Linked DNA regions of Drosophila melanogaster. Changing the gene in region 2 together with the main gene of any one other region gives a genetic interaction. Each region holds a gene or a part of one and is shown on either strand. Other genes may lie near its edges.

Region 1 (10,297 bases), on a different chromosome or scaffold from region 2:
TCGAAGCGGTCATCAGATCAGCACCCTCTGGTGGGGTCAGTTCCCGCACCTCTGAGTTCTCCTTGCTGCGCGATGGTTTCTTGGGCGCAGCCTGCTCCTGGGGCTTAGGAACCTCCTTCTCATTGCCCTCATCCGATTTTTCCTCTACATTAATTGAGGTAACCAAAGCTTCGGGCACAGATTCCACCGCTAAAATTTGCTCCTCCTCCTGACGCGCCCCTTCCTCCGTTTTCTCCGTGTTCAATGCTTCCTTCTCAGCCTTGCTCACTGATGGAACAACAACGGGAGCCTCGGTAGGAACTTCAGCCTCAGGAACTGGCTCATCTGCAGTAGTCTTCTCTACCTCCTTGGCCACACCGTTCTGCTCGGGAACTGGAGCGGATGTGGGTGCGACCGGGGCAGGAGCTGGTTTTGTGATGGTGGAGGTACTGCTGCTGGTGACAATCATCGACCTAGTCATTGCAGAGGTATCCTTGGTTTTCGGTTCCTTGGTAAGCCTACTGATGCGCTCGGAACTGGCTGTGCGACTTGGCAGCGCCTTTGAAGCTGATGCTGCCTTGGGTACCGGAGGTTCCTGTAGATTCAAATACGATTCAATAAACGTAATGGGCTTCAAAGGAATACGAATCTTACCCGCTTCGAAGGCGTCTTCTTTTCGGCGCTGCTCAGCCGCGATGAGCTGGAGGTCACGATCAGGGAGGTGGACATAAGGTTTGCAGTTCGTTTGGGTGTCGTTTGTGCGGATGGCGAGGCGGCTGTCGTCTTCACGGGCGGCTTCTGATCCCTCTTGAGTTTGTTAATCTCTACGAGGTTTAAGGGTTTCATGTCTGACGTTCTAAGTGTTCTTCAAGCGGACTTACCCTCGAGAGACATGCCCGTTCCGGCGATACTGGCGGGCCTCGGTTTCCGGGGTGCCGTTGCCGGTCGCCTGGGCACCAGCCCGGATGTGGACATGTTTGTCGATGTGGACATGGCGCTGCCGGGCCTTGAGTTATTGAAGTGTCCGCCGGGCGTGGCATTTCCCGATCGCGAGCCTAAAGATTACAGATTTCATTAGAACAGTTACGGAATGAGAGATTACAGGGGGCAAGGGGGTGTCATTATGGATGAGCTTATGTGGAGCACCAAATAAAGCGTACGTGAGTAGTGACCGTCACCAGAGTTTACCATTATTGCAGGGGGGAAACACAGGGAAACACAATACCAAATGTAGGACACAAGTTAACCAAAGATCCAACAGAGTTCAATTCGTACACATATAGCGAGCGAACACATAATGAGGATACAGAACATAAAACCAAGGACCAAATATCATATACCTAGGAGTACACAGACTCATCTGAGCCCATAAATACTTATGTTTATATGCGTATTCAATGTTATGATATGGCTAAAATGTAAAATAAATCAAAATGATAATAATGATAACAATTAAATAAATGTAAGTTTCGCTTCACCATCTAATAAAACCCGATCAAAGCAAGTGTAACTATGGATACATACGAACAAAACGACCGACAGACGGCGACAGGCAGCAAACAATATGGACCAGGGAAGCTCCGAAAAGGATCGATTATGATAATGTGATTATGATGATCTAGAATAATGTGAAATGTGAAGCCTATATGTATGCTTTTTGAAATTCTTTTTTAAGATCTTACAAACGTTTAACATGTGGTTTGGGATTAAATGATCAAATGAAAACACAATGTGTTTTACTGGATTTATCATATAAACGGACTTGCGGATGTAATGGACTAACATATCAAAGGTTGTTGAAACCGCATGAGATCACATGTGGATCACAAATTGCTGCTCAGATGAACTACAAACAACCTCGATCGGTCGTTCTTCGTATGTCCTCTATGAACCGAGGGAATTGGGAAACAAAAGCCTATGCGGGTGTACGAGTTCGATTTTTGGAGTGTGGTGAAAGTTCAAGTTAGTCGATTTCGGTGCGCGAGTTGTTGTTCTAGTGGTTTGTGGTGGGGGCTATCAGTAGGTACTCGAGTAAATGGATAGATGGCTACAACGCTATACGCAATCTGCGGAGGATTTAGATTTTAGATTTAGTGAGTAGTGTGGTGGTGGTGCTAGCGTGTTCTTTGGATTGGTGTTTTTTGATTGGTAGTTCGAGATGTTTGGTTGTAATTTAGGTTTTTGTTTAAATCGCACACACCTGCATTCACTAACAAACTAGCAGAGTTCATGAGCAACAATGAGTTGGGATCGAGATCGAGAAAACGGTGGGGGTTAGTAGAGATCGCATATTGCTGCTGCCGGCCACGACCAGTCGCGTTCGCGCGGAAGGATGCAGAGTTGAAGGATGAGGCTGAGGCAAATGATGACTGGAGGTATTTCTTAGTTGCCGCAGTTTGCAGGCCGAGTGTGGACTGGCGCAGGTGGTGCAGGTGGTTGGGTGGTGGTTGCTGTGGTGCTGTGCTGCCATAAACCGACCAACTGCTAATCTGTGTCATGCTCTTACTGGTGGAGTCCCGCTGCCCTCCGGCTCCGCTGGCCAGCGGACGGAAGCTGGTCGATATGCCGCCTCCCAGCGAGTACTTTCCGCGCTCCCGCTGGCCACCTCCTCCGGCCAGGTGTGTCATGCTGCGGGACATTATGCCGGCGGCACTGGAGCTACCGCTTCCGGCGCTTCCCGCCCGCCGTGCACGCGCGCTGGACCCCGCACCGCGTCGCCCCCCTCCTCCGCCCAGCGAGGCGGTCTCGTCCAGCATCTCCAGCTCCCGCTCGCGGCGTTCCCGCTCCAGAATCGCACGCATGTGCTCCCCATTGCGGCGTATCGGCTGCGCCAGCTGGTCCAAGCGGTTCATCGAGTAGGCCCGTCCTGCGGTTCAGTTGAAAGTTGAAATTGGTTTCGTGAATCTTTTTTTGAGCCTGGCTCTGGCTGTGGATCCTTAGGGAGCTAGCTAAGCTTAACCCACGGATGCGTTCGAAATAGTTTTCAAGGAATTTTCAAAATTGTCTTAAATATATCTATTGTATTCTGAAAATCATTAAGATACGAGAATACCTGATATAACTTTTATAAAATAAGATTTAATAAAACTTTACTATTTCGAACGCAACTGCAGTTACAGGAAGACTTCACAAAAAGATGTGGACAAACTGGTCTACAAAATGGTGTGTACAAGGTGTGTTTTGAAAAAGGTGTGTTCAGGTGGCTGGTGTGTTTTTTACAGTGTGTGTTTCAAGTGCGTGGAATAAAGTTCTGGTGTTTTCAGGTGCCTGGAAGAGAAAGTGTTCCATATTTTCTCACTATATCTCTGCCGAAACAGCATTGAACCCGGGAAACGACAGTAAAAAGTCAGGGGCTAAGGGCAACTCTTGGTCCGGAATGGGCTAAACCAAAAGGAAACACAACTAATCGGATGGAGGGATGTCGAATGAAGAGCTGTTGATGCGTAGATAGACGATGAAGCTGATCGCTGGATGAGCATGATTCAGATAGCTATGGGGGTGTGTCGGTTGGATGGACTGGAGGATCGATTGGGTGGGTCTTACCTGGGGTTCTGGCCGGCGTCGAGCTCAGGGAGCCTCGCGAACCATAATGCCCGTCTCGGGGGCTAGGTATTGTCGGCATAAGGTCCGTTTTCCTGCGGTAAACGCTTCGGAACACCATGGGTGATGAGTCAACGCTATCTTCTGCAATATTCGGGTTTTGGGTTGTTTTGGTTTTTGTTTTGTACATGATTTTGGATTTTGATATTCGATTTTTGGATGCAACTGCCGAAATGATTCACTTGCGATTTCGGTCTCAAAATTATATATGAAAAAACTTAATATCTAGGAACGATAGAAACCAAAAGCGAAATAGCTAAAACTTAAGTGTTTACACTGATACTCCTGATGGTTTCATAATAGATTATTAATTTTAGAATCGGTAATTAATACAGTCAGCCAGTGTAAACACTTTCGGTACAAAATAACCATGCTGTTGGGGATTTACGTTGAATTCTTTACAGACGGTCGATCCTGCTTTCGAGGGTTAGCTTCAACGAAGAGCGCTTGGGATCTGTACAATCTGGAGGGCGTAAAAACATCATGCAAAACTGAGAAGCTCAAGGCATGCCATTGGTTTGGGTTACGGGGGTAGAGACAACGAGAGTTACGAGCTTACGGCGGGGTTACGAATACAGGGTTAGGTTTGGCATTGGGGTTACGGCAAAACAAAAAACGGGGTCAGAACGAGAAGGGTTAAGAACGAGAAGGAGGAGCTGAGTAGAGTAGAAGAACCCTCACCCTTACGATACGAGTTATTGTTGTTAAAGTTGTTGTGGCCTGCAGTAGTGGTGCTTGTTGCTGTGGTTGTTGTGAGATTTGTAGGTCTGTGCGCGTTGGCTGTTTGTTTGGAAGTGGGCGGCGGATGGGGATTGGCCGGCCCATCGATATTTATCTCGCTGCCGGCAATGGAGAGCGAGAACCGCTTGGGCGGCTCGTCATTGGAATAGCCCCAATTGAACACCTCGTACATGGAGGAAGACTTGCGTCGGTGATCTGTGTGAAGTCGGTAGTTTTTTCGATTTGTTTCAAATATAGAAGTGAACGTTACAGAGGTGTGATTGCTGTTTGCTTTTGGGTGCAAATCATATTAGAAAACAAATACAAGAAAAAAAAATAAATAAAAAGAGAAGAAGGGAGCAGAAGTGATCGTGCCGTGTGAGAAGTCTGTGGGTGCTAGGGGTTTGTATCTATACAATAATAGTAATTCACATGTACACCAACTGGGCACAGTGGGAGATAACATGGTAGAGGGTTATAGAAATCTCCGGTTTGCGGGGCACATGTAAACAATAACTGGGACTTGTCAATTACAAGATTTACGAGTGTCTAAGGTAACGATAACGATAACTGCAAAGTAAAATTTAATCTCATTATGTGTGTCTGGTGTCTCAGCGAGTGTGGAGTGTTCAAGAGTGTGTGTATATCTGTTTCGGGGATGACTCAAGTGCTGCCGGGGGCAGCGCGACTCACCATCTTGTCGGTCCGTCGATGAGGAGGCACGCTTCTTAGCACCACTGTCGGCAAGTTCACGCTCTGAACTTCGACGTGTGAGCGAGGCGCCCGCTACGTTCGATATAGATGTGGACCTGCAAGGGGAAGTCATGTTTAGTACTCAAATTCAAATATCTAAGCGCAAAAATATAAACTTCGAATTGCCTCAAAATGGCCTTGCTACTTCATAACGATAAAACAATTAGCTATTTGCCATTAAGAATATCAAAGTTTACAATGAAAACCTGCTTAATCATTGTGAAATGGGTTTTTTCAACAATTGATTGGCTACTAGCTCACTATCTTTAGTTTCATGTTAGCCAATTATTTGCTTTCATTTCGCGACATTTACTAAGTCAATAATTATACTAATTGTGATTTATATATTTTGGCAAACAATTTCGTCATTAAAAGTTCAAGAACTGATAAAAATAATTAAGTAATGCCAGTCAGAGTGCAGCGCTAATTAGTCATGTGCAGCGCAAAGCACATATGAAATCGGCCAAAATATATACTAATCTAGATAGCCATGAATGGCTACATATTAGTGTGCGCGTTTTGTGTGAGTTTTTGGCTTTGTGCTCAGATAACTTTCATTCGGATCTCACCTCCGCTGACCCCAAAAGGCACTGGGCGATACCAGACCATAATCCGCGGGCACATCCAGCAGGCGGGGAGTCGAGGAGCCAAATGCGAAGCCGATGGAGTTTCTGTCCCGTTTTTTCACTTCTATCCGGGACTCGCGTTCCTGTGGATGATCAAAAACAAGAATTATAATAGAAGTTCATTGGAATCGAAGCGATAACGCACGCACCTGATTCTTTTTGAGGATGTACTCGCGGCGCTCCTTCTCGGCCTCGAAAATGGCCTTCTTGCGCTCCTCCACCTGGTGGCGCTTCTCTGTGTCCCGGGTACGGATCTCCTCGATGCGTCGACGGCGCTCCTCCTCCTTTTGTTCACGGTACCGCTGGGCGGCCTCCGCCTGGGCACGCAGTTCCTCGATTTTCCGGTGGCGCTCCTCATTTTGGCGATCGCGGGCATATTTTAGTTTCTCCTCACGGTCTTTGGACGCTAAAAGCGTAGCAAAATGAATAGAGATTCGAATTCGCACATACTTATAAGGGCATAAATTGAATTTGGATAAACAAGTTACGGTTCGCAAGCAAATAAAACTGGGAATATTTTCATCAGTTGCTACCTGTGGCCCAACAAAAATCGATAAATATCTGCTTAATATGTGTAGTATTATACCCCATTTTTCGACTTTTGCCGGCGAGTTATTTACATGAGAGCCGAGAGCTGACGTCATCGACAATGTACACTCGCATTTTGTGGGTCAATTGACAAACTAGCAGCAGCAACAATAACAAATATGGCACAAATACTCGGACAACAATACCGCCGCCCCCGCTTCAAATTTGCCTATGTGCAAAATGGGCGAACAACAAAAAAAACAAATGATAAAAGGAAAATAGAAAGCAAATTGCTAATGCAGGCGCACATTTTGTTCTATTGAAATGACATTGAGGCGGAAAAATGCAAAAAAAAAATTAACAATAATAACAATAATATTGGTAGCATGCGGTTTGGCTGCCAAAGTCTGCATAATCGAACTGGGAACTGGTTCTTATCGCCTTATCGGTTAAGATATTTTTGGAATTCCATGACGTAAGCAAGACGACAAAGGAACAACTGCAAGTCAATCTTTTTGCCAGTTACAGGTGCGAAAATATCTTGCAAATGGGAAATTATCAGCTGTCAAGGTCGCAGGCAAAATTGCTGGATTTTAACCCACTGTATGCCATATTTACTTGTGTTTTTGGAAAGCCAAAAACATTGCAATTGATTTTTCGCTTGATAAAATCCATTTCCTTTTTGCTCTCGTAATAACATGTAGTTCAATTTAACTTAACAAACTTTGAGAACATTGTTATTAAGATCAAATTCCCAATAACTTAATCATTCCTTGTTTTGCATTCTCACAATGATTTAGTCAAATATGACTATACATATTTTTAAAATTTGTATAATTAGAGTTGGACTTGCCATCTAAAATCAAGCTAGACCTTAAGTGTAGATAACATTTTGATCTTTTAGGTGTTAATTGAAGATGCTTTGAGTTTTTAATAACCCACTTTAGTGGGTAACATCTAGACAGTTTAGAAACTACAGTGATTTAAAGCGTGTCACTGGGTGAGAATAGATAAGAAGATTTTCTTATTAGAAAAACAGCTATGAAAGACTTGCAATAGACCAGTGACGGTTAAAATCGCGATAAGGCGGACTATGGGTCTTATTTGTTAGTGAGATCATGCGGCAAACATTCGGAGCATTCGTTTTGGAGGCGGAACAGAACGGGGCGTGGCTGTGGAAGACTTTGGAGCAGCCTGAATGGAATGCCAACTACCTTGAGAGTCGTCTTCACTGGCGGAGATTTGACCGCCCACCTGGGCGAACCAATGCAAGGTTGCGCCGGCGCTGCAGCCCGAGATCTTGGCAGGTGCGAATGCGTGGGCTGTGGTTCGAGTTATAGGTGATGTTAAAGCGATTACATATAGTGCGTATGTGTGATATACATTGGTGCCGATTTTATGTAACTCGCAAGATAATCCGCATAGAAGGCTTACCTTTTCGCTCGGCGCTGCCCTCGCGACTTTCGGGTCGCTTGGCTGTGTTTTCCACTGCAAAAGAAGTACGAGAAAAATGGACGATTGAGTTTCGCTGCGATTTTCCGGAGTTTTACACGGACTTTTGGCTTTCGTGTGTGGGGAAAATCAATTGCCGTTGCGTTTTGGCAAAAAGGAAAGGTGACAAGAAGGCGAAAGAGCGAGGAAGGAGGGGGACACAAAAACACACACACACACGCACGAACACAAGCGCACGGCAGCAGCTGCGATGACGAAGCGAGAGAGACAGTGAGAAGTACGAGAAAATAATGTATGTTTCCCTCTCTCTTGTTCCAACGACTTTTCCGACTGGAACTTATTTATAAACTCAAAACTCCGGTTCGGAATCGGGGAACTCGAAATACATATATCCCCCATTTCTAGGGGGCAGACACTTTTGGCTTCTCGGCTTTTCTCTTCTTTTCTTTTCTGTGCCTCTCGCCTCGCTGTTTTTTTTCTTCGTTTTTCTCTCTTCACTCCGTTTTTGCTTTTTGGCCGTGGTGTGAGTGCCGTTTTGCTGCGCAGTCGACCAGCACTTTTTGGCCACTGAAAACGCCCCGAAAACGCGTAGATCCTGGCCGATTTTCGACGCGGGGGCATTCGTCCTTCGATTTCGCACTCTCAGCGGGTTGTTTTCAATGCGTACCTTCTGGATTAGTCGAAATATTTCCGTGTTGGCCCCCAAGACTCGCCATATTTCACTTTACTTTAGCGCTGCAAACAGTGTGGCCAGCTCTGTAGTGCTGCGATAATCTACTTAATGCGACCGTACTGTTGTATAGTGGTGTGCTCTACGAAAATACTAGAAATGTTAACTAACGTATTGGTTTTTATGTATAAAAACTAACTCCGGTTTTATGTATAAAAACTAATGATCATTCGGTCCTATAAATACATTATCTAATGTTGTATGATAATTTCAGCTTCCGATACCAAGGGCGCAATAATTAACACTCCATTAGGGACGATATGCTCTAAGTGCGCTGACATAGAAATTAACATTAATCTGTTAACTAACGGTGCCCAGTTTAAAATTTAGGTACACTTGTATTCAATACTGAAAAGGACTTATTTATCTCCAATTTTATTTATCTCTGAGATTTCTTTAACCTATAGTTCATATTAAATCTAATGCTTCTCGGCGGCAATGCAGAGTTTGGCCAGAAGGGCGGTGAGCTGCAGCAGCGAGTTGATACCATCGATAATCTTCATGTGGGTGATTCCGATCTCACGGATAAAGTCCAGCTTCAAATGCTCATCGATGTTGATGCGCTTGCAGACACGGAATATGTTCGCAATGATGTCCTCCGGCGAGTATCCCAGCTTCCACAGCTTGGCCAGGATTTTGTAGGCCTTGTGTATGTCGTTAGCAGCGCAATGGTGGATCATCTCCTCTAGGAGCTTTGGGTGCGGCTCGTCGCAGACCTTAAAGACGTTCTCAGCGGTGATGTCGCCAAATCCCTGAGCGGTGGACTGCAGGTTGTTCAGTCCCTGTCGCATATCACCTTGGGCAGTGAATACGATGGCCTCAAGTCCGTCCTCCGTGTAGTTAAGCTTCTCCCACTTGGCCACCTCGATGAGCTTGGCCAGAACTTGCGCATCGGACAGCTTGGTGAATCGTAGCATGGCGCAGCGGGACTGGATAGGCTCTATGATCTTCTCGCTGGTGTTGCAGGCCAGGGCAAAACGAGTGGTGCTGCTGTAGATCTCCATGGTCCGGCGCAGTGCCTGCTGGGCACCCTCCGTCATGCTGTCCGCCTCGTCCAGAATCACAATCTTGTGCCTGCCCCGCGGCAGTGTCACCTTCTGCTGAGCAAACATCTTGATCTTGTTGCGGACCACATCGATTCCTCGTTCATTGGAGGCATTCAGCTCGAGGACAGCCTCCTTGTAGCTGTCTCCCAGGAGAATCCTGGCCAGACACTGGATGGTGGTTGTCTTGCCCACGCCAGGAGGACCCTATAGATCACAATTAGTGGCGCCAAACTAATTTTACTCCTCACAAACTCACAGCAATAATAATATTGGGTGCATTTCCCTGGGTGGCGAATACGGATAGTCTTGCTACGGTATCCTCATTGCCCACTATCTCCTTGAACTTCACGGGGCGGTACTTCTCAATCCACGGCAAGTGACTGCGCTTGTCGTCCGCCGTTTTCTCTGGTTCTTCCGGCATTTTATGTGCAATTTCACAAATTCGCACAAACAAATTGAAGCGTGGGGCTGTAGTGTGGCCGTTTCTTGGGCGCCAAAACACAACGGTTAGGCCTGGTATTTTTTACATTTATCGATTTCTTAGCAACACCGATAGGTCCATAAAGGTAATTATTTGAAATTCAAATATAAAAAAAAAACGTTCAGATCATAAAATATTCTGTAAATGAGGAAAAGAACACACGCTCAACAATATATAAAAAGAATATGTTTTAAGCAAACATTAGTTAAAAATTCTTGTTTACAATGTAAACGTTAGATAGATGAGGATTTCAAATCAGGTTAAAAAAAACTAAAAAAGTTAAATTTAATTTAAGACCAAATAGTTTTTTTTTTTCGTTAAGCTTTATTGGGTATTGAAGAAATTACAATACATTTAGATGCATCAGGTGCCAAAAATTTGA
Region 2 (10,297 bases):
TACACACGATCCTTGTCCTGCGGAATTAGAGTTCGTGTTAGTCATTTTTGTGCTGTAAAATTGTATATGAATTAAAAATGGTACATCATGGGAAATCTATTTAGGTGTAAAATTAAGTTAAGTGTAAGTTCAAAAGTATTTCATTCCCTTGGATATTCCCTTCAGTAGGGTGCATGTTATAAAATGATTGGGTCCCATTTTTTTCAAAAATCCCTAATATTTAGTTTCGTTTGGAGATATATAGTATTTTTTGAATCATAAATGATTAAGCTTTGGTATTTATTGTCCTTTTAACGGCCTAGCCGGTGGATTTGCAAATAGGAAAATAAATATAAAAAACAAATTGGCGGGAAACCATCTCATTACTAAGGTGAGCAAATTAACCTTTTTTTTACATTATCAAATGTTCAAAGTAGCGGTGGTTACCGAAATATGAATCAATATTAATATCAATGTTCTTTCTGAAAAAGAGACCCAGCTAGATTCTAAATAAATGGTTGAGTTGAGTATTCAGGGGCATGAGCCAGGTACAGTTGGCCTGGGGCCGTACCTCAAAGTCCAACTGGAACGAGGCCTCCACGGTGGAGGTGTCGATGCTTCCGTAGATGAACTCCGGCGGATTCATGCCGGCGTTGGCGCGCTCGTACAGGCGTGCTCTCTTCGGCTGGGTGGTGCTGTAAGCGTCGTTCATCATCATTACGGAGAGCCGCTTGCGCTGGGCCACCTTGTTGACCTCGTGATCGCTGCAGCGCGGGTGGATGTGGGCCAGAACGACGTCCACGACGACGTGGCGCGTCTTGTCCAGCGGATCGGGCAGCATGGTGCAGATGCGGGACTTGCAGGGAGTGGACTTGTCCTTGCGCCTGTTGCACAGCCATCGGTAGGTGTTATTCCGCCCGATGCGATCGAAGTGGTACAGATAGTCGTCCACGCAGAGCATATCCACGCCCTTGGCGGAGCGCACCACGGACACCTTGGTCAGGTCCATGCCGTGCTCCTCGACGGGCGTCTCCATTTTTGAATTGGTGCGCTGTTTGGCCCGAGCCCGGAATTCAGCGTTTTTCGATTTGCCCTCGAAAAGTGTTTTGTATCGTAAATTAGGCGATTTTTTTAGTGGCTGGCTGCCTGGGATTTGTTGGTTGGGATTTTTGGTGGTATTTCGTCAGCTCACTATTTGCGCGCCTTTTTGCAAACGCCGGCCATTTACCCAAACGCACTGATTTATTGCAGTTTGATGCACTAAAAGGGTTTATATTTGGTTTTTATCACTCGATTTTAATTGCACAAGCACATTTTCTTTTGCGACGCGTCGAAAAATGCTTTTGTGTGGGATACGAGGGCTGCGAGCTATGCGGTGGCGTTGCCACTTATCAAAATCGGTTATTTTTGTGACGTTCAAAAATTGTAAATATTGATGTTTATTATTCACTTACAGTTTGGTGAGATTTTTCCCGTTGGATTCCCAGGACGAGGAGAGCGTGGGCGATCTTCTGCTACAAATTGACAGTATCTTGCAGTACGGCGAGGATGCAGACGTGAACGTTAAGGACTTTGATGAACCGGAGGAAGGGGATCAGGATTGAAAAAAATCAATTTTTCATATTGCTTAAGAAAATGTACAATATTTTATTTTTAATAAAAAATTAAATCTAATCAAAATGCATGTCTAGCACCATCCCTGACCGCAGAGTTGCCACTGGTACAGTGTTGGACAACTGCTGCCGTAATTTTAAATTCCCCTACGCGTACGGCGTCTAAACAAAACTGCGATTCTAAGAACGAATATAAAAGCATGCAGGAGGCTGGCGAAAGTCCTGTTGGAATGCCTCTGAGCCAGGAGGCCATCGCACAGCGTCTCGCGGCGCTTAGTCGTTGGCAGGACGAGCAGAAGCGGCTGCTGCAGGAGCGGCAGTCCAATCACCGCGTTTTGCTCGGCTTGGAGCAACGTAATATGTACAAAATGCTGGGACTGCTACACCAGGAAACGGAAAGCCATGAAAACAGTGTGCTGGAGGAGTGGGACGAGGAGCACTCTATACAAATGCCGCGACTCGCGGCGGATCCGGACGAGCACGAGCCAGAGATTTCAATGGCTGATCCCCAGCCGGCCAAGCCTAAACGCCCTTTTCTGCGTCGCGGCGAAGGTCTAAAGCAGCGGTTCAAGATCAATCCCGACCAGCTGCGCCTGGAAAACCTGCCGCGATACAAGTTCGCTAATGCCCACCCTCAGTTCCGCACGCCTCAAATGAAAAAGGGTATTCTCAAGAAGCAAGTCAAGTCACCTCCCAATCCTGCGCCTCCACCAGCTCCCAAACCCTCAGCACAGCTCGACGATCTCAACGAGCAGCGCTTTCAGCAGATGCTTATCGGCAAGAACGCCTGCAGTTCCACTCCAGATCTAAAGTCTTCCTATGCGTCCTCCACAACCGCCTCGAGCACCTCGCCCAGAGTTCGTTTTGTAGAGCAGAAGAGCAGGGCGGGACAAACCACTCATGCCGATGATGAAGCCTCCTCGGAAGCTAGTCCCATGACAGGAGTTTGCTGGGCCAAGGTGCTGGACACACAGAGTATAAAGCCAGCGCAAATCCAAAGACGCTCTGCTCAAATCCGAGTGGAAGATGACAGCAATGTAAGCATATTCGAGCTGCTCGAGCAGAAGGCCACTGAGGGAAACATTGATATGAACTCCAGCTGCATTCGAACCTTTATGGCGCGCAAAGATCAGCGTCGCCGAGTAGCTGATGACTCCGATCACATTGTAGTCACACAGCAGGTGCGTCAGATGCGATTGCAGCCACAGGTGGACCAGATGCTGGTGCAGGAACTGCAGGAGGGGGACGAGGAGGACACCGAACCGTCCAGCGATCAGACCCTCACAATGACACCCATCCAGGTGGGGAATACTAAAGTGCGAGTGCGTTTCTCCGACTCCAATGACACGCACGAGTACTCCGATGCCACCAGCCTCAACGACGGCTCCAATATTCAGCTCTTTGAACAGTTCAAGTCCGCCCTCTTCCAGGCATTGGAACAGAAGAAGAAGTCAAGTCCCAGCAAGGAGTCAGACGAACCCATAACCAAAGATCTTCAGGAGAAAGCCAATCTCGTTCGCACTCGCCTCGAAGAGCTGGAGACAGAGATAGCCACCTTCAAGGAGCAGAATGCCCAACTCCTTCGCCTGAGGCAGCAACACGAATTGGAGAAGGCAAAGTGCACACAGGATCACATGGAGGCCATGGAACGCGTCCATGACGAAAAGATTCAAGCTGAAATTTATCTGCACGACGAGCGCATGAAGATTGAGGAGGAACGACGCAAGTTCGAGCAGCAAATGCGACTTCAAAAGAGCAATGCAAACAGCAAGGAAAAAAAGGAGATAGCCGCCTTGAAACAGGAAGTGGAGGGACTGCAACTCCAGCTCAAACAAAAGGAGCAGGCGCATGTCTCGGCACAGGCACGACTCCGCGCTCAACTGCGGGCCAGTGAGAAGGAGCAGCGAAACTACCGTGACGAGATCGAGCTGCTGCGCAAGGAGAACAAGCGCCTAGAGCAAGAGCTGGTCAAGATTGGCCGCGAAAACAACAGCAAGATGCTGCAGGAGATCAATCGAAACATAGCCCGGCTTGCCCCCAAAGTGGTAAGTGCATGCTTGTGTGTATATCGTAATGTAACTAATGTCTTCATTTAGTTACCTTCCGCGACAATGTCCGATATCCTCGATGAGAACGGTCGGCGCACCCAATCTCTGGACGGCACTGCTGGTAAGCCTGCCAAGCAGCGAGAGGCGCAAAACCGTCGTCAGAGTAGCGGCAGTGCCCAAGTGAGAAGTCGGAGTCGCTCACTGAGCAGGAATAAGAAAACACCATACGCTCTGGATGAGAGCTACGCCTCTAGTAGTTCTGTGGAATCGGAGGAAGTTCAGCCGCCCGTGACCGCTCCGAAAGCTGCTACCCCCCCACCGGCTGCCAACTCCAGCAGTGACTTTAAGCGGGAGATTACGAATGCGGATGGGAGCAAGGACATTTGGTACCCAAACGGCAATCTAAAAAAGATAAGCGCCGATGGCATGAACTTGCGCATGCTCTATTTCAACAAGGATATCAAGGAAACTAACATCAGGGAAGGCACAGTGAAGTATTACTACGCTGAGACCAACACTTGGCACACCTCCTACCTAGATGGCTTGGAAATACTCGAGTTTCCCAACGGGCAGACGGAACATCGCCGCAAGGATGGCACTGTTGAGATTCACTTTCCCAACAACAGCATTAAGATTGTGGATCCCAGCGATACGGAGAAACTGGAGGAGTGGCGTTATGCGGATGGAACCCATCTAGTGCAGCTCCGGAATGGTGACAAGATTCTCAATCTGCCCAATGGCCAAAAGGAGATTCACACCAAACTAAACAAGCGAAGGGAGTATCCGGACGGCACTGTGAAGCTAGTGTATCCGGATGGCAGCCAAGAGACGCGCTACTCCAACGGCCGCGTTCGTTTGAAGGACAAGGATGGCAAGCTCATAATGGACACAGACTATGCCAAGTATTAGAGTCGGGTCTCTGCTTCCGTTGTTAAGTAAATTAACTTAAGTTTTAGATAAATAGAAAAGACGTGCTATTTTTAAAAGATCATCGTAATATTCTTTTCTTGCTGATAAATGGGAAATTGGCTCTATTTTAGATTATTATATATATTGTTTGGTTTTCAATTTGTTAGATCAAATGTAGTAAATTATTCATAGAATGGTATTCTACTCCGCGTTTACTCCTTCTTGGGCCATGGAGAGGTGATGGCCGAAGACCTTGGGATGCTGATTGAGCAGCTTGGAGGCGAATTGCACCATTTGCTCGAATGTGAACTCCGCCTTGGCACGTGGTCCCCAAAGGAAGAAAGTCTTGGAATCATCGTAAGCACTTAGCTGTGAGCGTTCCCGCTTCAGATATTGTTGCTTCACAAACGTCTCCTCGATCTGTTTGCGCAGATTGGGGCCGAAGTAGCCATGTTCTTCGTCTGGATAGATGTTGAGCATCTCCAGCATAACGTACAGTTTCGAGTCCTCGATGCGGTTGCCGCGCAGGAAGATGTACATGAGAATAATATACAGCAGCGTGAACTGCGGCCGTTGAGCCGGCGTCAGCTCGTGAATGGAGGCCACCGGCTCCTCCGCAGTGCAGATGAACGTCTTGGTGGTCGCGTCCAGTGGGGTTAGTATTATACCGAATGTTTCGGCCAGCAGATTAGTGACCAGCGGCAGGCGTTTCTTCAGTTCGCTCTTGTCCCCAGCCACCGCTATCAAATCCTTGTCCTTTATGGGAATCTTCTGGGCGGTATGATCAAGGATGTAGTTTAGAATGGCGCGAACCTTGGCGTCGACCACATCGACGGGTTGTTGCGCTTCCTGCGAGGGGATGGCATTCTGGCTCCTAGCTGCGCGAGAAGTGCTAGCCATTTCGAGTTAATTTGATTAACAAGCTCCCAATTTATCAAATTTATTTGATTATTTAAAATGCAACTCAACAAGAATGCAGCGAACATATGTTTTTTTTCGCACTTTTGAAAGTGTACAAGCCTGGCGTTGCCAGATCAGAGTTAAAAAACGAGACCTGTTTTCAGTATTAAAATACCAAATGGGCGCGCAAATTATATTAATTCAAAATCATTACTCTGACAATAAAATCTTCGAACCCTTATTATGGTCTTTACCAATCCTTTTCTCTCGCATCCTTTTTCACTTGGTTGCCTATTATATGCACTTTCAAGTGCAAATGGCCACTCATTGGTCTCGTTTGAACGCACAAACTGGGCCAAGAGCCGCTGAAGTACCTACTCTTGTGGGTTTGTATTGATTGATTTCCTTTTGCTGCCGCCTTTTTCCTCTGTTACATTTAACAATCAGTATGAAATTTGCGCTGCAGCGAAACGTTTGCTAAATAAATATCATTCGAGCATTTATCGAGCAGCTAAGCAGTGGGTAACGCACTTTGCATAAAAATTGCCATAGCAGCCTCAGGAGGTGATGTGTTTTTAATTAAAATGGCCAAAACGACGCGACGTGCAGCAGCAGGAAGCAAACAACTTTCAAAACTAAACGCGAATGACATGCACGGTCAACATTCCCCACGGAGACTCAAAATAAACAGAGACCGAGTCAAACAAAACGAAATGGAAATGGAAATGCATTTCGCGCAGCAGACACACGCGCCGAAGTGCACTTCCAGACGCTGCAGAATTACATGGCCAAACATATTTTATTGCCTTGAAATGTGTGTTTTAGGTGGCGATGGCGGTGGCTGTATCTCTGCGGTGAAAACTAGTTACCTGCGTCTGCGCAAAGTGCGCGATCCATAAGTGATAAATGTACAGGCGGAAGGCAGACAAAAGTTGCCTGGCCAGGCGGCAAGCTTTAATTGATTCGCCATTGTTCCGGCTTGAACAAAAGCAGAATATCGGAGTTCAGATTGTTAAAGACAGCCTTTGTGGCCGCCTGAAATGGATATCCGCCGCGTTCTGCAATTGATTCTGCTTGACCAGTGACTGTAATAGCACCGAAATTTGCATCCCAGCAAGTGAAATTACTCAAGATTGTAAATCTCGCAAAACGGCGGCTGAGTGAGTCAACAAAACGCACTGTCAACGCGAAGCGTTAGACTTTCTACACACAAGCAAACAGTTTTGCTTTCAAAATGCGCATTGTAACGTTGGAGTTTGTCAACTCCAGCCCTAAAGTTTTTTTATGGCCGGCTAATTGTAGCCAGACGGTGTTGGAGAAATGTCTCATTTACTAAAAAGAAAGTCAAGGTCTTTGCTGAGCGACGTGAGCGGCAAACTTGCTATGCAGCCTGGCTTTTAAAGGCCATTAAAAATTAGCAAATGACATGAGCATGCCATTTAGAATTTTCATGATAAACAAAATCCCATGACCAGCCAATAGAGTAACGACAACGGGTTTCGCAGCTCACCGCGGTGGCAAAAACTATTAATAAATTAATAACAGAATCACAAGAGGCAGCAGACAAAAAATGTGTGCACAAAAAAGAAAGCCAATATTGGAATGAGGAATGTGTGGAGTTTAATGCTCTATATGATCGGGATTAATTGTTTTTAAGTGGCTTGCTCTTTGAGATTTATCATTTCGAATATCTTAAGGAGCTAAAAGTTTTTTATTGCGAAAATAATATGAATGAAAATAAAAAGTGAAAAATGAATAAATAATATTACATTTAAAATTCAGAAAAATGGAAGGCACCATTAAATGGAAATTACGCTAATATAAATACATCTTTTGATATTCTTAAAGTTGTATTTTAAAAAAATGTGTTGCAAACATTCAAATTAGTCTTTCGTTTTGATAAGAAAAACGCTGATAAATGGCATAGTTTCGCAAACATAAATCTCTTATCTTGTAGTTTTTTAAAGATTCCTTCTTTTCATGTTCCCAGCTTCTCTGGCTAAAAATATTTTAATTTATTCTTCAGCAAATCGAATGTTTTATTTCCCTATACAAGTATATAAGTTTGTTCTTACAACCTCTTTCAGTGAGCAGATAACCCCGTTTCGGTCGCAATGGAATGGAATCGAGAATATAGAAACAATAGCCGGCTGTTGTTGCCTCAGTCTGGTTGCGTGCCGTTCTTAAAAGTGGACTGCCTTCAGCGGAGCGGTTCGGCATTCTTGTCCAGCAGCTGCCGCTCGTGGTCGATCTGGCTGATCAGCTTTGGCCCGGGACCGGCACTTCGATTAGATTATGATTTGCTCCTCTCTCAGAACGACTCAGCTATCCGCTAAATGTCAATGGGGCTCACAATTACAAAAGCGCGCTAAGCTGAACGTAGCTGTGAGCGAGTAGAGTTTAGTTCTCAAATAAAAGACTTGGACAACAAACTTGTTCGGCTTAATTAAGAGGTCAAATTGCTAAACTCAGGCCATGGATCAAAACGAAGCTGCTATTTGACCTTTTACACTTAATAAATTTCGATGCAAACTAGACGCCGGCCACTGATAATCAAATTAAACGCTTATCAGATAGTTTGCCAAATGGCTGCAACAATCGTCGCAATTAAAGTCGAACAAATGATCAGTGAATTGACTTCACTTGGGGGCCAAGTTCACTCGTGCATGCCTAATCGCGTATACGCACCGTGTGACGACATCGACTTGCGGGTTGTCTAGTACACGGTTTTCAGTCGAATAAAAAATGGCTGAAGTCAAAGCGGATCTAAGTTTTACGCATATTCGTAGTGGGAAAATATGGGATTTTATTGCTCTATGGCGGTGGATGTCGTGCAAGTTAAACAATTCTAAGATTCCACTTGTGTGAAATAGAAATTCGTTTATTGAAATTACTAAAATTTAATATAATTTAAATAAGATATTCACTGCTAAATATTTTTCAAGGCCGTTGTATTTTTTTTATTGTTTATTGTATTTTGTGTCTTTGCATTTTCTGTGGTCTTCAACTTGATCTTTTCGCTGCGTTTGAGTTTCGCCTTCGTGTGTTTTTATTGCTCTCGAGATTCACAATCTCTCGTTTGGCCGGCCATTCTAAAGTGCTTATTAATTTTATAGCCCGTGATTCGATGACTTTGAAGTGGGCCAGCATATACATAAGCTACAACTGAAACCCACATCCCCATAACGTTTATATAAACATTTAATAATTATTAATTACATTGAAGTGGCCATGCCGTTTTGTAAACAATTAAGCTATAAGTTCAGCGTCTGGGGCCGTACAAGTTGGTCAAAACTAATGGTGTTTCGGCTGACGCTTGAAAAATGCCCATCTAATGAGTCACTTTAGGTACCCAAAGTGATTGGGGTAATTCTCTACGCCGGCCAAATGCTAAATAGTTTACTTAGTATCCGGTGCCGTCTTGAAACTAATAAAATGTCAAGTCTTAGGTTTTTCTCGAACACACGTTTTCGGTGACGTTTTCGCCTTGCGAAGGTCGATCGGCAGCTTTTTGCAAGTGTATCACATGAACCGAAATGTGAATCACATTTTCGAATTTAGTATGCAGTCGACGACTTTGTCGCAAAGGCCTTGAGCTCCGCACAATTTGCATGAGAGAGTGCCAGAAACAATAATGTCCAATAAATTGTTGCATAAATCGCAGCCAGCTTCCTGTGCGAAAAACTTTCACAAGCCATTCGCCGAAAGGCAGAAATTTGTAATAATTATTATCGAGCTTGGTGTCATGTTATACATGCATCAATTTAATGGCTTTTGCAACGCCGAAAAACTACGATTTTCCAACTCAAACGATCGTGAGAAGATCTGCACTCTGAAGTCATGGTCATGGTCAAATGGACCATGATTGACAAGCCAAGCGACTTGGTTTATGTTTATTTATTTTTTGGTGCTTTTAAGCATTTCAAGTTCTCTATTAAAAATAAAGTTGAAAGTGCAGTGAGAAAGTAAAAATTTATTTCTATATAATTAATTTCATATAGTTACATTTTATATATTTAAAAGTATCCTTTGTGCATCCCAACTTTATAACTATACAAATAGACAAGTCAAACCTAAATCAAAACTTCCATGGAATGCTATAAGTTCACGAAAAAATAATGTTGATTTTTATTATGAAATAAATATGCGACTCTTAAGCTACTTATTTTATCCCTAATTTCAATTTATGTTTTCTAAACGAAACACGAACGTGTCCATAAAATCTCTGAAGGCCAAAGAAATAAATTCCCTGAGCAAAACCTTTTGAGTCACGAGTCGAATATTCAAAGAAATTCTGTTTAAACAATTTAAATCCCGAGCAAGAAGATTATGCAGCATACGTATACATATATGATGTCATGTCTTCGAAATGAAGTTTCGGTTATTTTTGAGCTTGAGCCTGGCTTGGTTTTCAGCTTGTTTATCAGCATCTGGGTATCGTTTCGGCCTCTTTGAACGCATTTCATTAGCGGCCATATATGTATATATATATATGTATCGTATATATGAACTTATATGCACATAATATGGGTATAGTTGTCTGAGCGGTGTCTGCATTCACAACCGGTGTGGCTGTCTTCGCACCGGCTCGCCTTTTGTTTGTTTTGTTTGTATGAAACATATTAAACATATAGTCGCATATGTATCTCTCCAGCGGTCTCTCAGCCCGTCTGCAATGCATTTAAATGCAGTTTGTGTATATATATTTATTATACGCTGCATGTGCATGCTTTACTTTTACTTTCATATGCAACTGGTTGCTGGCAGCCAAAATGGGGAAGTGCTGTCAGTCCGAGTGTGGGCCTCGTTTCTCTCAGTGTGCGCGTTGTTTTTCTTGCTGTTCCCGGC
Region 3 (10,297 bases), on a different chromosome or scaffold from region 2:
GCGGTGCATCATCTCCATCTCCAGTTCCTCCTTGCGCCGACGCAGCCGATCGTTTTCCATCCGCAGCGTATCCAGTTCCTTTTTGACGCTATCGTATCCCTCTCCGGCAGGTTCGTTCACAAGCTCCTGCTGGCGCAAGGATTGAATCTCGCGTTCCAACGTGGCACACATGTCCTTGTATCCGGTTACGGTGCGTTCAAGCACCTCCATTCGGACCCGCACCTGCATGTCCTGCGTCATGTCCGCCACACTGGCATTGCTCAGGGTCGTGTCCTTGTCGAAGTTTTCCACCAGTTGTTTGTAGAAGTCGCGCTCCTTAGACACGGTGATCAGTTTGCGCTGCAGTCGCTCCTTGAAGTTCTTGTGGCGTTTCAGTCCGATATTGAGATCCTCGATGTTCTTCAAGTAAATGGCGCACTTATGCTCTAGATCTCGAATTGTGGTCTATAAAATGGAGTCAGATAAATTGGACTTGGAACACATTGGACAAAACCTACATTCAAATGCTTGGTATCCGAAGCCGATGATGTCTTCTCTGCCACGTGAATGATGTCTTCTTTTAGCAGTTGCTCAATGCGCGAGCGTAGGGCCATTGGGCTGACCAAAGTGTTGGCCAAGCAGTGATCCTGGGCCACCTTGACCCATTCCTTGAGTTCTTGCTCCATGTGAAGCAGTTTCACCTGCAGGGAAGCTGCTTCCGCCCGAGCACCTTCCTCCCGCTCCAGTCGCGTTTTGTAGTCGTAGACCTGCTCCTCCAGAAGCAATTTATCGCCTATCAGAGTGTTTAAATGCTTGTTGTGGCTGCGCAGATGCTCCACCTCAGCTAGCAAATCTGGAACACTGGCCAGGCGCTCTCGTGAGGTTTTGACCACCTCCTTCCAGTCGCTATACGACTGAATTTCGAACTCCAGCTCCTGAATGCGATCGTTGGCCACCTTCAAGCTTTGCGTTTGCTTCTCGTGATTGGCGCGCAGCTGCTCGAATCCGGAAGCCCTGGCCTGTAACTCCTCATTGAGTTGACGTAGGCGCTCCAGTTCGTTGCGCGTAGACTGCAGTTCGAGATCGGCCCGCTGGGCTATGCGGCGATATTCGCTCAGTTCGTTGTTGATGCACAGGTGCACATCGCGGGCATCCTCCTTCTGCAGGTACTTCTCCTTCTGCAACTTGAGCGTGGATTCATCGAACTTAAGCCTAAGTTGGTTCAACTCGGCGGTGGCCCGACTGGCCTCATTCTTCAAGACCAGCTCTCGCTTACGAAGCGCCTTAAGATCGTCCTGCAGCTCCAAATTCTTCTTGCTGGTGATGTCGCACTGATCCTTTAAGGCCGTGCTCTTGTTCTCAGCCAGCAATATGGCCTCTTTGTGTTCCCGGCTCTTCTTTTCGATTTCGTTACGCAGCTGAATTACTATGGCCTTGGTTTCGATCAGCTCGGTCCGTAGTTTGCTGTTCTGCAAAGAAGCCATGGAATCGTTGGCGGGCATATTGAGGGAAGAGGCGGTGTCGTTAAGACTGCGTTCCGGTGATTCCCGTTCCCGACGTCGCTTATTGGGTGCTAGTAGAGGAGTTACTTGTTAGTTTCTACGTTCGCGCCTGTAAATTACAACTTACAAACTCCTAAATCGAAGGAGGCGGAAAGCCGGTTGAAAAGTAGTTTCTTGGGTGCCGAATGGGTAATGCTGTCGTTAAAGCGGTCCATCATATCATCTATGCTGCTACGTATGTCGTCCATTTTAAGTTGTATGTGGGAGACCTTAGTTGACGTTTTCAGTAAAGATATTTACTTTTTATTGCTAAAAGAAGTTGGTAAAATATTAATCTTAGAGTGGCTGCAAATATTTAGACAAGAAATGCCAAATATTGGTCATATTTTATTAGTATTAAAGTGGCCGATAACTTTGGCTTTTGTATCCAAAATTGTCACCAATAATCAAATATACGTATATTAATCTGGGAAATAATATCTTAAAAGGGACAGTTGTCTTAAGCAATTTCTTTATTTGGTGTGTTAATATAAAATCAAGAAAACAAATCAAAAGCTAAGTTGGCAGCCCAGTTTAGTATATTCGAGCGTGACTCTTTTCTGCACCACCCAAAAGTATGTTACACGAAATACTACAGGTAAAAGAAATCGCAATCGATAACGATAGTTCTTCGAGTGTTGCCGAAAATAAAAATTGATTTGCATTTCTTCTCGGCTTAAAATGAATTAAATGTTATTGTTTCCGCACCGAAAAAACTCATAAATCGTTAAAACAACAAATTCCGAAATCGGAATTAATTCGAACAATTGAACAACTGCCAAAAACTAGAACGTATGTGAAGCGTGTGTGTCGTACATACCAAGAGATAAGGACAAAAAACGGTTAAAAGAAAGCTTTCAAGAAAGAGAGTATAGAAAATAAATTTTACTAAAGTAACAAAAAAAAAACAACGAAACGCGTGTGCGTGTGCAACAAAAAAGTGTATGTCAAATAAGAAAATGTGGCTCCAGCGATAACGGTACTCCAATGTGCTCTCTCGCACGCACACAGAAGCATCCCGCACACGTACACCACCACCACTGCCAAAAAGCAAATCCTGCCCAACAGCCGCACCTATAAAAGTGGGCGTGGGTTGACCCAAGTTACTGTAACAAATTTGCAAAAAGTGATGCATGCTAATTGTTTAAACAAATCCCAGCTTTCCTAATCAAATACCTTTGCGAATTCCAATACACACCTATACACACATACCCACGCAGTGATTGGTGTGGAGAGGAAGAAGGAAAGGAAGCCAAAGGACAGGATAGAAAAGCAAGAGGAAGAACGAAACAGCATCGGCGCGTTGGAGAAATGTGCGGGAAGAGAAGATTGAAAATAAACGTGTAGTAGAGAATTTTTGAGACACTCACACGCACACACTCCTCCCACACTCTTTCTCTCTGTCTCTCCGTCTATACCGCTTGCCGCCTACACACACACATACTTAAGTAGACGCACGAGAGTTCTCGTATCGCGAAAAGCGTGTGCTTTGTTGTTGCCTCTCCCACTCCCTCGCTCTAAGAGGCGCTCCCGTGTTGTTTTTGTTGTTATTGCCGCTGAGCAAATGGCAGACCCTCTAAGCGGGTGCCGCTGGTGATAACATGTCGTAATGGCCAGAGAGGTAAGTGCAAACGTGCTAAAAGCAAAGCAAAGCCGGCAACTACGGCTTAACCGTTTTAGTTTTCCCGATCACCACGGTACCGCAAGTTACTTTGCCAAAATCAGCTGTTCTCACTTCATCACCATCCCCCATCATTCACATCTGCAACCAACGGTGTTAGCCTCTCCCAACATTAAAACAGTTAACCCTATGTCATATTTTTCCAAAGAAGTTTAACCCAACACTACAACTTAATAATAAAAATGCTGCGTGTAACAAATAATTATTCTCTGTAGGAATGAATTTTTTAATTAAGCAGTAGAAACAAAATAATCAAAAATAATACTAGGTAATAGATTTTTTTTAATAACATGCAATTTGAACAAAGTAAAATTTATAATATATTTTAATATTTCTTTGACTTGGTCTTTGTAGATATTTTGTTCTTTACGTGGTCAGCTGAACGAAAGATAGGTTCTTTATAGAGCAACACAACAGGATGCATGAATAAATCAACTTCTAGAGAAGATTAGGCAAATTTTTATTTTGCTGCTTGAGTATGGGTGCAATGGATACGATTCATGCCTGGCCTAAACTACAGGCACTCTGCTCCATCTATGTGAATTTTTCATATGACAACCTTTGGCGAGTGTATCTAGCAAGGCGTATCGCTGCGGATGCTCCGCACTCGCGTCCGCATCCGCTAGAGAAACCTATTAAGCCTGTGGCCCGCATTAGTCTCTTTGTGTGCGTGTCCCTCAAGCTCCTGCTCTGCATATGTGTGTGTGTTTGTGCATGTTTTATGCAGTTCCTTCGTTTCGTTTTGCTTTGCGGGTGAGTGAATAGCTTTGACCCAAATAACTGAGGTAATACTTACGCCTCACAGATGTGCCACTCCCCCAACGCCCTCCTTTCCCGCCGCCTCCATCCCACGTGTGGCTGCAACTGTTGTTCTTCTTCCTCTTCTCGCGCCCCCTTTGAAAGGAATTTCGCTCTCTGGCCTTTCCAAAATTGTTGCTTTGAGAGGATGTCTCCAAAAATAAATTAGTTGCGAATTCCCAAAGCGCTGGAATTCCTTTAAGAGCTGATAAAAATGCAGCCGAGATGGCTTTCAGTTGGCAGTTGATCTGGCATTATTTAGGATAAACAAAACAACTTTATCTCTCCTTCTTCTTACTGCAATTAAAAATCTCGGCCAGCAGCAATTACAGGAGTTTTAGTGCTCTGTTATCCATTCACATTTACAGCTGGCAATGCTTTTGCGAGAGGTAGAGAGCTTCATATAAAAGTGCATCACTCTCTCTCTGTCTCACCCTTTTTATTAAAAGACTTCAATGTTTAATGCTAGAGTTTAAATGTCGAGCAAGATCAGGTCTAAAAGAAAGCTAAATATTTTCCTGGGGCACACAATCCAATAGCAACACTATTAATTGAACGCCGTTGATTGGAAGTAAATGTTTACAAAATCAAACTGATGGGATCTTATGAAATGCTGGTAAAGCGTTTCGAGGGAGAAGGTGCGCGCGCTTTGGCGTCCTGATTATATCACATTGATGCAAATGTAGGCCAAAGCACGACGAAATATCTTTACCTGTTAAAACATCGAAAATTATGGAAAAAAAGGTAGTAAATGGGAAATAGTGGGGTGGATAAAACAAATACGGTTTAATTGGGGACCTAAAAACTGAAGGCATTAAATTGACTAGATAGTAGTAACGGGATTTCTACCCCCACTCCTCCACCTGTCCTACTCGCTCTCGCAAAGCTTTGTGCTGCATTTCACCTCGTTCTCACTGCACTTCTCTCGCGCTTATGCCTCGTGCTCATTTCAAGCGCTGTTAACGCGCTGCAAAAACGCACCCAGCCCCAAAAGTCAAAGAAGAAGCAGCAGCAGAAGCAGCAGCTGCTACCGTAGTGAAATCCGATGCAGCATCTCGTCGGGAAAACTCACAGTTTGCTCTGCCAGGCTGCCAGGCACACAGGCAGCTAAGGACGCTGCTTTGGCCCGTGGAAACACCACGTTCCCACTGGGTGCTATAACTAAACAAATCAAGCGTTTTTCTACAAAATCAAGTTTCTAAAAACGAGCTATAATTAAGTCTAATAACTGGGACTCAGCATCAAATGAAAATGAAAACTCGGCGGTTTCACGGGCAAAAGGGCGCTGCAGGCGCGTAGTATCCGTAAAGTGAAAGTGCGAAGGTCAACCCGCCCTGACCTGCCCCAAAAATACGAATGCGAATGCGAATGCGAAGTACGAGCAGTGAAAAGCGAAATTCTAGGCACTTCAACTCTGCCAGTATTTACAACAAACTAAAGTAACCAAATAACGTGGACGATAACATTTATACCAGAAGCTGTATTTTGTGCAAAGTGCGTTTTTTTTTTCGTGACCCCCTTAACAATTTTTGTAATTACGAATTTTCCCCCTGAACGCAAGGCATTTATGACTCCAACAATAAGCAATAAGCTTTAATTTTTGTAGAACTTTTGGTAAAAGCATCCGCAACTCCGGATTTTGTAAGGCGTACATCGGTTACGGGTTTATATAACGGATTTTTAAAACGGACATGGATTACCAGAGCTTGGAGCTCCAAGTGTAAGACGACCTTGGAAGCGACGAGGCCAACCATTGCAAGCAAGCCAGCAGAGCCAGCGCAGAGACTCGGCCTAAAAGTGGCTGGCAGCAGCAGCACCACCAACAGCACCACCAGCACCACCATGTGGTCCAACGCCCTGTGCACGCTGGGCGTGACGAAGCCGCTCTGCAACTGTCTGAGCATCAGACAAGTGGCAGCCGCAGCTGCGGCGGCGGCCCAGGCCACGCAGGGCGTAGCTGCCTCTGCCGCGGCGGCGGGTGGGGCCGGAGTGGGTGGTGGGGCCATCACAACGGGGCCCTCGTCGTCGGTCACAAACGGCGGACTGTCCGCAATGGTAATAGTTTCGCTTTGCGACCCATACTTATTCAGTGTTTAGCTTTCATCGACTGCAAATGTCCTTCATTTCTAGATCAAACTCAATCTATTCCGTCCTTTATCCAGTTTGGTTTCCAATTCCACCTCCAATTCTAAATACCTCCTCAAATGCATTTCACACTGGTTAATCGAATAGCTTGTTGGGCAATACTGCTCAATAACTAGTTTAATGGTTTTTGGAAATTCATTTGAAATTATTCAACCTGTTGGTGGTTGGTTTGCCTCTTTTCTTGCATGAAATGAAATATCTTACTATTTTACTTAGGGAAGATAAAGCATCACCTTTAGCGTATGTTATACATTTTCTTTAGGTACTATTACCCACTTGTTTTCTAAAGTTTCCCCTTTTTTTAAAGCTAAGTCACACAATCTTAAAGTGCTACGATATTCAACCAGTTCTCCAACAATTGTTTTACGGCATAATATGATTTATCGAGCCTTAGAACTGGCAGTGCTCGCTGTTTATAGTATTATCAGTTTCATAATTTATAATAGCCAGCACATCCCCGACCCGCTGCACTCCCTCGGTGCCATATGGTGCTGGGGTGCAGCAACTGACCTATCCCAAGAGGAAAATCGGTGCGATGGTTTGGATGGAGAGGGATGAGGCGGCGAGTAGAGCACACAAAACACTGGCCAGAGCGAGGGAAATGAAATATTTTTATGAAAAGTTTCTGCTTGTTTTCGGTGCGGAGGAATAAGCAAAATGTCAACATGAATTTTTTGTAATTTTTCAAACATTTTATTTTGGGTGAACGGGCGGGGAATGAACTGGGGGATCGGTGGATCGGGGGATTTGGGGGCTTGGTTGGCCGAAGAGAGATATTTGTATATGGCTCGTGTGCTGCACTCGTTACTGGGTCACTGGAGCGCCACACTCATGTCCTTGCAATACATTAAACATTGCAGCTTTCGTCCTGCTCGGCTGGCTGGCTGGCTGGCTGGTCGTTGTTGTTGTTGCCTGCAACTGTTAGCCAACAGCTGTGCGCGCTGTTAGCCAAAAGGATTCGTTTTCAATTTTCTTTGGCCCTTTTTATATGTACATATATGTTTCCATTTTCAAGCATTAGCACTTGCATTTGCTTTATTTCGAATGTGAGGGCCGTGGATTTATTTCAACTTTTATTCCATAAGATATCTACAATTAATATGAGCAGTGCAGCAGTTGTGGCCTTGACATTTGCGCCCTTTTTGGCCAAGCCAGAGAAGCCCAATTAGCGGGCTGAGGAAATTATGACACAGTCCGGGCCTGCTGCCACACCCACTTGTCAGTTTTTCGTGCGCAGCGTTTCACAGGTGTCACGCCCATCCTGCACCCTGCACCCTGCATCCCACATCCCACATCCCCATCCTCCCACATCTCAGCTTTCACTTTCCCTTCCTTCGCCAGCAGTTGGAATTGTAATTCGTAAAACGCAACTAATCCGAATTTCTCTTCGCAGGAGTCTCGCGGCAAGAGACCACTGAAAATCTGGGACAGCTGGCGGAATGTGCGCAAGGGCGTCGTAGTTGGGACCTTCGAGGAGCTCTTGGTCCGCGGCAAGGATAAGCTGGGGGTTCCTGCTTCAGAACCGGTGCGCGTTGTTCTGGAGTGTGATGGAACCCAAATCGAGGATGGCGAATACTTTCGCACCCTGGCCAACAATACGGTGCTGCTGCTGTTAAGGCAGGGCGAGCGCTGGTATCCCACTGGCGTCGATGTCATAAAGGCTGGTGGGTGTAATAAGTTCACTCCCATCTCGGGATCAGTACTGGCCACGGGAAATTTAATTATAGATTTAGACCTGGTCAGAGGAAACATTCATTTAGATTCAATATTAAATTCAAATAAGTTATCACTGCGTAAATTATGAGCCTTACCCTTATAGCTAAATATTTGCAAAAAGTCTATTTCGATATTTGATCAAAGACTCTTTCAATTTCATTCAAATTGAATAACTAATTCATAGAGCAAGCATTTACTTTAGTACTTAGCACAACTTTCAATGTGGCTTGTTTGAATTGATTTCAAGGTCAATTGTTTGCGAATGAATTTAAATTCTTTTTATAGTTGGCTGAACTTATTCAATTTCTAAAGAACAGAAATTTAAACAATTCTTTGGACTATATCCTCTGTTTTGAGACACATTGGATCTTGAATGCAATAAATTTCAGCATGTTTTTAATGCGTTGGCAAGCTATTAAGATTTCCGCTGCTAGCATTGAATTGTAAACAAAAACGTAAGACGTAAAAATTAAACAAAAGAAAAATGCTATTTAGAGATTTAAATGACAGTCATTACAATTTCAAGAACATGGTCGTCCGATTCTTATACAAGTCTATTTAAGTGAATATCGTATTAGCTATTTTTTGAGGCGATAGTTGACCTTCTCATCATTCCGTACTGAACTTCAGTTGGGATTTCTCAGTGGTTCGGATCTCATTCTATTATTTTTCTTACAGCCATATCAGCTATACCGAAAATCGTCTGTGAGACGATTCATGCGCTGGAGTTGCACGATGAGACACCGTCGTGGAAGATCATGGATAACAAAGGGCGTGTCACGGTCGTTCTGCACTGGGATCAGCGGCAGGGTGGAGGAAGCGGCGGCGGAGGAGGAGGCGGTGGCGCCGGCGGCGGAGTGGGGAGCATGTGCTCCGGCCTGGGCAGCAGCAATGGGCTGCTGTCGTCCGATAAGTACTCGCCCTCAAAGAAGGGCCTCTCCGCGCAGAGTTCGCTGGACAACAAGTCGGTGTCGTCGCAGTCCTCCCAGCCGCGCTATGCCAGCCCTCAAATAACGGTGATCAGCGACGACGGACCGGCGAGCATATACCATCCCGGTGGCGTTGTTCTGCCGCCAGGAGTTGTGATACCCGGCGGCAGCAGGCGACTCTCCAAGCAGGGAAGCTCCTTCGACAGCACCGTAGGCGTGGGTGTGGGAGCTGTCCATGTGCACACGCCGGAATGCGCCCACCACGCCCACACGCCCAGCAGGGCGGGCAGTCCCAGCACCACCGAGTGCGACTTCCACTGCTGTGCGCTGCACGAGGAGGGGCGCAAGATCGCTGTGCACAAGAGCGTGGCCACGTCGCCCATCCAGGACGGAAGCAGCAGTCCCCAGCCGCAGTCGGCACCATCGGTTATGGATCCTATGCTGGGCGGCAGCGGTGGCGGCGGAAGCGGCAGCATGCAACGCCGCTCCTCGGGCGCCAAGGGCCATGTGCGATTCCTGGACATCGCTCCCGAGCGGGATAGCTCCGAGAGCGAAACGGAGAACACGGTGATGGAGGACGACAAGACGACGACGGAGAAGTTTCTGCTGCTGATCGACCAGTTGTCGGTGGACCAGAAGCGTCACCTCAGCATCAAGGACATCGGCATCATACTGGAACGCCTCAACTCCAAGATCCTTGACGTGGAGCGATTGGATCGCGAGTCCGAGTCAGACGACTGCTACAACTGGACGATAAAGGCGACAATACGCGGCGATGCGCTGCGCGAACTGGGCGTCATTTACAATGGCAATTACTATGCCATCTCTGAGCATCCTGGCTACAAGGAGGAGCTAGAGGAGAACGGCGAGGAGGTCGAGGAGGAGGAGGAAGAGGATGAGGAGGACAGAATTTAGAGTGCCAATGACAGGCAGACGGGCAAACCCACAGGTTCATGACTGTCCCACGTTGGGCGCCACAGAAGGTATCAATAAACTAGCGCATTTTACAGAAACCAAAACGAAAAAATGGAAAAACCCAAAATAAGAGTAGCCCAGCAGCTCGACACAAGAACACACACACAAACACACACCAACATGCATACATATATACATATATACTTATATAAAATAATTACGAGAATATAATAATGCAAGTCGCACATTGTACAATAGTGAAGTAAGCGTAAACGTGAATTATAAAAAGGCGAAAGCAAAGCAGCCACACACCCAGAAACACATACACCCATGCCCACAACAACAGCAACAAGCGCGAACCACTTAAGAGCAGTTTTTGTAGCATTTATCCAATATTCTCATTGACGGGGACCGACGTTACCATAAATCAGAAGCATGGCTGGTTGGAGACGTCGAAGAATATCACTGCACCGTCTGCAGCCAGCTTAACGAATTCTGAATTCGCAAAATTCAATTCAAACGCCCCAAAATTTAGCCCACAGATCAGTTGCAAGCCCCCAAATCAGCCATCCTTGTGTTGTTATCGTTGTTGT

The links.
Region 1: of Sas-4 (region 2) and ens, changing one enhances a phenotype caused by changing the other (phenotypic enhancement), as found in Drosophila melanogaster (one study listed by BioGRID).
Region 3: of Sas-4 (region 2) and Mad1, changing one enhances a phenotype caused by changing the other (phenotypic enhancement), as found in Drosophila melanogaster (one study listed by BioGRID).

What each region holds. Positions count from the first base shown.
Region 1 is NT_037436.4:4,126,129-4,136,425, forward strand, and holds the start of ens (ensconsin), read right to left. Parts: upstream 8,423-10,297; 5' UTR 8,375-8,422; coding exon 8,326-8,374; intron 7,695-8,325; coding exon 7,641-7,694; intron 7,529-7,640; coding exon 7,421-7,528; intron 6,085-7,420; coding exon 5,828-6,084; intron 5,762-5,827; coding exon 5,622-5,761; intron 5,109-5,621; coding exon 4,993-5,108; intron 4,516-4,992; coding exon 4,261-4,515; intron 3,664-4,260; coding exon 3,523-3,663; intron 2,846-3,522; coding exon 2,180-2,845; intron 1,035-2,179; coding exon 861-1,034; intron 804-860; coding exon 634-803; intron 575-633; coding exon 1-574. Other genes in the region: RfC4 (replication factor C subunit 4), read right to left, coding at 8,808-9,638, 9,691-9,855.
Region 2 is NT_033777.3:7,149,616-7,159,912, forward strand, and holds Sas-4 (spindle assembly abnormal 4), read left to right. Parts: upstream 1-1,751; 5' UTR 1,752-1,792; coding exon 1,793-3,637; intron 3,638-3,688; coding exon 3,689-4,549; 3' UTR 4,550-4,604; downstream 4,605-10,297. Other genes in the region: CG2656 (uncharacterized protein), read left to right, coding at 1,436-1,583; gfzf (GST-containing FLYWCH zinc-finger protein), read right to left, coding at 1-17, 551-1,015; MAGE, read right to left, coding at 4,751-5,449.
Region 3 is NT_033778.4:9,289,729-9,300,025, forward strand, and holds the start of Mad1 (mitotic arrest-deficient 1), read right to left. Parts: upstream 1,838-10,297; 5' UTR 1,730-1,837; coding exon 1,609-1,729; intron 1,553-1,608; coding exon 498-1,552; intron 445-497; coding exon 1-444. Other genes in the region: Drep2 (DNA fragmentation factor-related protein 2), read left to right, coding at 5,842-6,054, 7,538-7,808, 8,539-9,704.